Sus scrofa: one gene and its partner. The protein of the gene in region 1 interacts with the protein of each later gene in a biochemical or structural test. Links are inferred from orthologs where the notes say so. Each region holds a gene or a part of one and is shown on either strand. Other genes may lie near its edges.

Region 1 (4,357 bases):
TAAAAATGAGAAAAGCTACATTCTAACCAGTTTTGTCACTTAATGATAAGACTAGCACTTACTTCTCAGAAAATTCTGCTTTGCTGTACTGTTTCAAAAACCATTTTAAAAATAGGGTCAATCAGGCTATCAAAAATGCTTTAAATAAGGGGAGGTTTTGTTTGTTTTCTCCATCTCCTAAGTAAATCTGGCAGTGTTGGCAATGCCAGGCAATACCGTGATTCCTAAAGCATCCCTTCAGTCTGAAGCTGGCAAAAAGCTACAGGTTTGGGAACACTCACATTAGCCTCAAAATCATACATGCATCACTTGTATCTCTGGCATATTGTACTCTGGTAATGGGCAGTATATAACTGCCCTCTTTATTAATTATGAAATGACTGAAAGAGGACCTGCACGACATTTCCCCCCTATTTTTGATGGAACGGTAAAAACGTGGACCTCAACACCACTGGGAAATAAGAATAGGTAACTATGTTTTTTTTCCAGGATTTTTTGGTCTTTTCTTTCTTTCTTTTTTAGGTGTAATCAACAGAAGCCACTGGGTGTCCTGACTACTAGTGATTCATTACCAAGTTCAAAGGAGGGTCTCAGCGGAGGATCGCCCCAGAAGCGCTCTTGGCTTTCACTCCACGGAGAGGAGGGAAGGAGCTGCGCGCCCCCGGGCTGGGGAGCTCATACCGAGCGACCGGGACCAGAACTCTCCACTGGAGCCCCTCCCATCCCCCCATGTACAGGGACTGAGAGGAAGGAGCATGGCAGACCCCAACAGGAACTGAGAAAGCACTGAAGGGGCAGTAAGTGGACTTTCTCCTCAGAAAAGCCGGGAGTCGCCGAGACCCGAGCCCGCGCCGCCACACCCACCCCGTGCGCTCCCTCCGCCTCCCAGGGCCGGCTCAGTCCGGCCCCGCGGCCTCTCGCGTGCTTCCCGCCCGCCTGCCGGGGAGAAAAAGAAAGCCGGCCCCCGGGTCCTGCCCGCCAAGCCTCGCTTCTTCCCGCCCACAATGTCCGCTCACCTGCCGGGCCCCCAGGAGGAGCAGGATGCCTCTTCTCCCTGATGTGTGGCCACCGGCTGAGACCCCTCCATAGTCTCCTGAGACTCTGCAGCCGCTGACCACCGTAGGCAGGGAAGGGGGCGGGGCCGCGAGGTCAAGGGGCGGGCGGTGACGTCACCGGAGGGGGCGGGCGGGGAGAGATCAGCCTGGCGGCGTCTTCCCGTCAAGCCCAGGGGCGTCCTGGCTTCCGGTTTGGGTGTGGTCGAGGGGCGGGCTTTGCTGCAGGTGGTTGCAGTGGCCGCGCTGTTAGGACTGGGGTCTGGCGGATATAAACGTAGCCGAAACGCTGAAGGTACGTGGCACCTGCCAGGCACAGAAGATTCTAGTGGCCGGCAAAATGATGGAATTGCAAAATCCTTAATAGTTTTAAAGCAATAAGAAAAATCCTTCATTTTATAAATTAAAAAAAACCCGAAAGCTAGTAAAAAGTAGCTTTGGATTTCCAGTCTAAGATTCCATTTTAAGAAGTTATACGTTTAAGAAATAATTTTGGACGACTGCTACGTGTCAAGCACTGTCATATATTGGATAGAATCATGTGATTTTTAGAGCTATGAATGCATTATGTCATCCAGTTTTTTATGGGTGAGGAAAAGGAATTTATGGTCAGTGTAAGTGACTTGCCAGGTTAAATACCAGAATGAATGTCTAAGGACTTCTGAATCTCTTTCCCTTGACTCTTCTTTCACCTTTCTTAGAAAACAACAAGAATTAGTGTAATTCAGTAACGTTAGAATTTATCTTTCATTCTAAATGTATATTTGGAGAAATGTTTGTAGGATTCAAAAAATTGAATCTTTCCACATTTTATCATCTGTAATGTATGATATTTTTATTTAGAATTTTTCCCATTTTGGTGTGGAGAGAGGATCCAAGCGAAAGTGGATTCATTATACTTTGAGCCTCTCCATTTTCTTTTCAGAGTTGCATATCTCCAAATACCTGGAAACTTCATCCTGCTCACCTATGGCGTGATTCAGATTTCTCAGTCAAGTTGTATACCTTTTCTACATAATCGTGAAAATGAACTTGGTCTATGTCTCATTCTTTCAAGGTTCTGTCCTAGCACTGAAGTTATCCCCGGTCCTCTCTCTTTTTAAGAAAATTAATAGAGATAAATATCTTTGACAGGTTCACCCCACAAATAATGCCAATTTCTCTATTTCTCTCCGTCTAACTTTTTTTTTTTTTTTAATTTTATGGCTGCATCCGTGGCATATAGACTTTTCCCAGACAGGCATTGAATCCAAACCCCAGCTGCAACCTGTGCCACAGCTGTAGCAATGTCAGATCCTTTAACCCACGGCACCAGGCCAGGATTGAACACACATCCAAAGTGACCGAGCCATGGCAGTCGGATTCTTTTTTTTTTTTTTTTTTGGTCTTTTTGCCTTTTGTAGGACCTCTCCTGCGACATGGAGGTTCCCAGGCTAGGGGTCTAATCAGAGCTGTAGCCCCTGGCCTACGCCAGAGCCACAGCAACACGGGATCTGAGCTGCGTCTGTGACCTACACCACAGCTCAAGGCAATGCTGGATCCTTAACCCACTGAGCAAGGCCAGGGATCGAACCTGCAATCTCATGGTTTCTAGTCAGATTCGTTCGTTAACCACTGCGCCATGACGGGAACGCCTCAGTTTTATTTTGAAAAGGTAATTGGTGATGGTGGCAGGTATTGCTGGCTTCTGACCCCCAAAACATTCCGCTTATGATATCTCAAAAGAGAAAAAAGGAAGTGAGTTCTCTTGTGGCTCAGGTCACTGTTGTGGCACGGGTTCAATCCCTGGCCTTGGAACTTTCATATGCTGCGGGTGCAGCCACAAAAAGGAAAACAAGAAATTTTTTTTTTAGTTATCGGAGGGCTAAATAAATGTTCAGGGAAATTGAGCACTGCTCTCTAGAGGAGGATAAAAATACCCTTAAGATATTTAGGGTTATCCCTTTCTCCTTTGCCAGTGATTAGCTTAGGGTGGTCATGTGCTCCAATTCTAGCCAATTTAAGAGGAAGTGCTGAGGGTTCTGGGAGAGAGAGATGCATGGGGTTAGAAGCAACCCTTTCTTTCTGCCTTTGAGACTTCTGGTTGGTGACAACTAACCTCTAATCTCTGAGGTAAATCCTTGTGGAACCAGAGAAAATGCCTCAAAGTTCTGCCTTAACCAACTCTGCATGCCTACTTCCAGCCTCCCTGTAACATGAAAACATGCCACTTTTAGTCTGACATTTCTATTACTTACAGCAGAAAGCATCCTAACAGCAGCAGTGATGCATAAAATAAAAGTCATACAAACAGATACACGTATATTTATTGTACTTTTCTCTCACTATAAAAGCAATATAGGGTCACCTTAGAAATTTGGAATACATGTATTCACAAGAAAGAAAAATTTTTTAAAATTACTCAAGAGATAATAGTATGCACATTTTTTTGCATATATTCTATTGTTCCTATGCATGCACTTTATATAGTATATAATTTAAAAATTAGACTAATTGTTTTACACCTAATTTTTAAACTTAACTGTAAGAATTAAATTGAAGATTTAAATCAATCTTTATTAGATATTAAACTGAATCTTATTTAGTTTCCTATGGACACAATTTATAGTAATTAGATAAGCTCAAGGAATTGGTTCACTGATTGAAACCAAGCTAAAGGTAAGATAGATGAGATTTTAAATATACTTTAACTGTCCATGAATATTATCTTTGTGACTACGGAATCATTTCTGAGACAGGGCACTTTAAAAAAAATGGCTGACTCTTACAGCTGCACCTGCAACATATGGAAGTTCCTAGGTTAGGGGTCAAATTGGAGCTGCAGCGGCCAGCCTACGCCACAGCCACAGCAATGCTGGAGCCGAACCACACCTGCAACCTACATTGTAGCTTGTGGCAAGGCCGGGGATGGAACCTACATACTCAAGGATACCAGTCAGGTTCTTAACCCACTGAGCCACAACAGGAAATCTCAAAATTTGATTTAAATTCAAACCCATCATCACCTCTTGACAATTTAAAGACAGTGACTGATCTCTCAATCTTAAATGCACTTGCTTTAAACTGAAAGACCCTCTAACATAGGAACAATGTTCCCATAAAACATTGGGATATGTTCTCTGTTCTCGATATGCAGAGAACTCAATAAGGGCTAAACTAACCATTGTTTTAGATGATGCATTTAAAGAACCAGATATACAGACAAAAGTCTGAGAAAATAAACATACCATTTTTTATTTCTTTTCAGACCCTAAAAAAAAAAAGTCTAACTCATTTCCACTGATTTATGTTCCCAGATGTGATGT
Region 2 (4,336 bases), on another chromosome or scaffold:
TTCCCGCTGCCCAACATAGTGATTTGGTGTTTTTATACATTACAAAACGATTGCTGTAATTTTTGTACTTTGAAATGTGCTAAGTGACCCAGCTAGAATGCACATACATTCTTGCATAAAGTGAGGAAACTTTTATTAAATAATACTTTCCCGTACACTTCAAAAATAAACTACAAATCAGAATACTCTGGTTTTTAAAGCAATGACACTGGTACACACAGGTTATGAAAATCAGCGTGGCCTCTGTTCTCACCAGTTAACATACCTCCCTCTGGTGGACACATGGAAGCTGTACATTTACCCCCTAGAATTCTTTTTCTTTTACTTTTCTTCCTTCCTTCTTTCCTTCCTTCCTTCTCCCTCCCTCCCTCCTTCCTTCCTTTTATCCAATTCTTTCTGTTGCCAAAACTACAGGTATTGACTTGTTTTATCATATCATCTCTCCTTTCCACCAGACTCAACATAGCTCCTGGTTTTTCTAAAAGATATTTTAGAGACTTGATTTTCAGGGAGTTCCCACTGTGGCACAGTTGGCTTAATGACCCGGGTTGTCTCTGTGGAGGCTCAGGTTTGATTCCTGGCCCAGCGCAGTGCGTTGAGGATCCCGAGTTGCTGCGGCCGTGGTGTGGGTCACAAGCTCCAGCTCACATTTGATCCCTGGCCTGAGAATTCCAAATGCCGCTGGTGAGGACGAAAAAGAATAAAAGACTCGATTTTCAGAAAACCACCCAAGAAAACAATCAATTTCAGCTCGGAGGACAGAACTGTAACTGTAATAAAATTATAATACAACCACAGTTACAATCGGGGTGGAAACAGTGAAGGGATTACGACAGAAAACACCTCCCTACAATGAGGCAACGCTAACAGTAAAGGGAAAACCCCAACAGCTAACGGGAGACTAGATTGGACAGCACCGGGTAGTACCGTGGACGGTCTCGGGGGTGGGGGGCCGTGGGTCTCCGGCGGAGAGAGGGCGGCCGCAAGGAACCAGGGGGCTACTTAACACCGATTTGGGCGGAACGCAGAAATTTCGGCAGCTGTCAGAGCAGCGGTCAAACTGCACTGGCTCGCACGTTTAGGAAGACTGGCAGCTCTCCCGCAGCCGGAGCAGGAAGCGAAGGCGGGTGTGGTCTCCAGCCCGCCGTGGCGTCCGAGCACCGCGCAAGGTCCCCGCGCCCAGAGTCGGAACCCGGCCCGGAATCCCCGCGCTTCTCGGGCTCCGGGGAATCCCCAGAGCGCCGTCCGCGGGTCTGACCCTACGGCGAGGAACCTCGCTTGCAGTTCCTTCTCCTGACCAGTTACTCCCACGGAGCTTCTGGAAGCGATGTGCAATCCTTACCCCTGCGACCCACTGAACCCGACTGGAAACCGCAGCCACCGCCCCGCGCTCTGGTTCAAAACGGGTGGGCGGACGCCGCTCGGAGGCCGGCCAATCGGAGGCCGCACTCCTCCCCGGGCGGCGCTCCGGACCAATCACAACCCTCGCCGGCCGGAGGAGGGGAGACGCAACCCTCGGGCTCGCGCAGGCGCTGTGCAGGCTGGTTGGCGCCGCTGCGCTGCGAGGGAGATCCGCGCAGGTAAGAGCGGGTCGGTGGGCTTCTCGGCTTAGAGGTTACTGGCTGGCGGGGGCGGCGGCGGCGGCAGGGTCTTTCTGCCCAGCGAGGAAGTATCATCTCCCGCGAGCGGCTGTGTGGCGGAGCATGTGGTTGTCTTGACAGCCCCGTTGGCACACGCCTCCGGCAGCCCCCTACCTGAGTGTCCCCCTTCCCAGACATTCCCCTTCCTCCCACCCGGGCGTCCCCCCACCCCCCGTCCCCGACATTCCCCTGCTCTCCCCGCCGCGTCCCGCTCCCGGTGCAGAGCAGCTGCCGGGGTAGATTACAACTCACAGCAAGTTTGTGGAAACAGAGAGCTGGGCCTTGCGGTAGGAGTGAGGGGCTAGGCTGCATTCCTAGAGGAGGGGTGACGTGTGTATACGTCTACAGACTGTGGGCCTCAGAGAGAAGTCGGTGTGGCAGAAGCAAACGTTTATGGGGAGGAGTACTGGCCATGAGGCTGGAAATGTGGGTTGGGCCTAGATGGTAAGGAACTTGAAATGCCCACAAAATAGTGATGGATGGTTTTGAGCCAAGGAGTGCCACGTACTAATTTGTGTTAATGTGGTGAACCTGGGGTCTGGTTCTCCTTTAGAGAAATTGTCTTATTTGTTCTCACCCTATTACAGTCCCTTTACTATGCCTTTCCACTGCGTTCACATTTTATGCGAAGGTAGACTTTACCACTTGGGCATATTTGTCTCTGTCATCGATTCCCAGCATCTGCTTACTGAGAAAAGAAGGAATTTTTGTATGAAAGGTATGCTTAAGTACCCAGTGAAGTAACTGGATCCAAGAGAAGGTGGTTTAAAGGTGTGGCTAAAGAAATTTGGAAGTAGTTTAAAGAATAATTTGCGTGAAAGACCGTTGTAGTGTAATTGATTCTATTTAACGTATTAATTTGCTTGTGTTATTACTACTATTTAAATATTTCCAAGCGTGCGTGCATGTTGATTGCGGAGGACCACTTTGTCTTTGCAGTGCAGTTCAGGAGGGTACAAAGACCCAACACATACACGTCCTTGTGTTCAGGATAGCTGCCTGAGGTTAAGTTCATAATTATCATGAATTACACTGTCCAACTAAGTACAGTCTATACCCACCAGGTGATCTTTGCTTATTAGTACCTATAATTAGTACCGGACGGTTGGTTCACTTCTGTGCTGGGTGCACTGAGGCCCCAGCAGTGAGCAAAACTGGGCCCAGGCCCGCCCCCCCCGGGGGGGGGCGGGGAGATTGTCATTCATCCGTGGAGACAGATGTTAATTTAAAGCATGTAGCACTTTTCTCTGTAGAACTTGTTGCACATTTCAGACTTTAGTTTAAAAATGTGTTTGCTTGCATAGGTAACGACAAGGAAATGGAAAAAGTGGACTCCCTGCTTGGAACAGAGATTAACAGGGGGGCTTCCTTTGTCCTTCACTAAACGGAAAGCAGAGTCCTATGCTAAAGCGGAGTCCCTGTCACCCGAGCCTGGTGCCTGGAGCCATCTGTGTGGCCATCTTGCCCAGCAAGCCTGACAGCCAGCCCTCCCTCGTGCCTGCCATGCAGAGAGCGTCCCGTCTGAAGAGAGAGCTAACCCTGCTGGCCACAGAGCCGCCCCCAGGCATTACATGCTGGCAGGACGGGGACCGAATGGATGACCTGCGTGCTCGTAGGTGTCACACCCTGGGGAAAACCTGGTGGAGATGTGTGTGTGACAGCATGGTCACCTTCCACCCTAATTTGTTCACTTGTGCATGAGGTTTTCATGACATTTCTTCTTTGGCCTTTTATTACATCTTTTGCTGATTTGCAGCCAGGATTTGGGTAGAATGCTGCAGTCCACACGGCAGGTCTGCGGGTTGTATTCGCTCAGCAGCCAGCATTGTGCGCCTTCTGTTCTGATCTGTGTGGTCTGTGTGGGGTGCTGGCACGCCGCAGGACTTGTGAAGCTGAGAGAGCGAGCGTCCCAGACACGGCTTCTCCGTTAGGGCCACAGGCTTTGTTAGGTCCCTGTGGTGCCCTGACTCAGATCATCCCACTACCTCTTAATTTCGCTCTTTTTTTTTTTTTTTCCTAAAAGAAATACTAGGTGGGGCCAACACACCTTATGAAAAAGGTGTTTTCAAGCTGGAAGTTAACATTCCTGAGAGGTCAGTGTGAATTATATTCTTAATTTCCAGGGTAAAGCACTGTTACTGGAAGCCAGAGCAATGTAGTAGAGTGTTAAATGCAGGAGTTCAAGGACCTGGATTTGTTTGTTTGTTTGTTTAGGGCCACTCCTGAGGCATATGAAAGTTCGCAGGCTAGGGGGCAAACCAGAGCTGCAGCTGCTGGCCTACGCCACAGCCACAGTAGTGCAGGATCTGAGCCCTGTCTATGATCTAAACCACAGCTCACGCCAACGCCAGATCCTTAATCCACTGAGCGAGGCCAGGGATCGAACTTGCATCCTCACGGATACTAGTCAGGTTCGTTACCACTGAGCCATGATGGGAGCTCCAGGACCTGGTGTACTGACTGCTTTGCAGTTCTGGAGAGAGTGATCTTATTCTTAGGGGATGTGCGCTGAGGGATCTAGAGGGGGAGTTGCTTGATCCAGGTGGTGGGCATCTGAGGGGTTTCTGAACTACTGTTTCAACTTTCTGTTGTTTGTAAATGTCCACAGTAAAAACTGGGGCAGAGAAAAAAGGTCTGCCACTCACGGGCTGTGGTCCTGATTGGTCAGCAGCAGCTGTGTCGTGTGCCGAGAAGCG

Evidence for each region. The genes of interacting proteins can lie anywhere in the genome.
Region 2: the proteins of UBA6 (region 1) and UBE2T form a complex in vitro, tested with the Homo sapiens proteins (2 studies listed by BioGRID, with this or other methods). The link is inferred for Sus scrofa from reciprocal best matches to the Homo sapiens genes UBA6 and UBE2T.

The regions. Positions count from the first base shown.
Region 1 is NC_010450.4:65,468,021-65,472,377, forward strand, and holds the start of UBA6 (ubiquitin-like modifier-activating enzyme 6), read right to left. Parts: upstream 2,810-4,357; 5' UTR 1,448-2,809; coding exon 1,017-1,447; intron 1-1,016. UniProt on the Homo sapiens protein: Activates ubiquitin by first adenylating its C-terminal glycine residue with ATP, and thereafter linking this residue to the side chain of a cysteine residue in E1, yielding a ubiquitin-E1 thioester and free AMP.
Region 2 is NC_010452.4:24,456,251-24,460,586, reverse strand, and holds the start of UBE2T (ubiquitin-conjugating enzyme E2 T), read left to right. Parts: upstream 1-1,501; 5' UTR 1,502-1,580; intron 1,581-2,919; exon of another isoform or gene 2,920-2,944; 5' UTR 2,945-3,041; coding exon 3,042-3,252; intron 3,253-3,663; coding exon 3,664-3,733; intron 3,734-4,336. UniProt on the Homo sapiens protein: Accepts ubiquitin from the E1 complex and catalyzes its covalent attachment to other proteins. Catalyzes monoubiquitination. Involved in mitomycin-C (MMC)-induced DNA repair.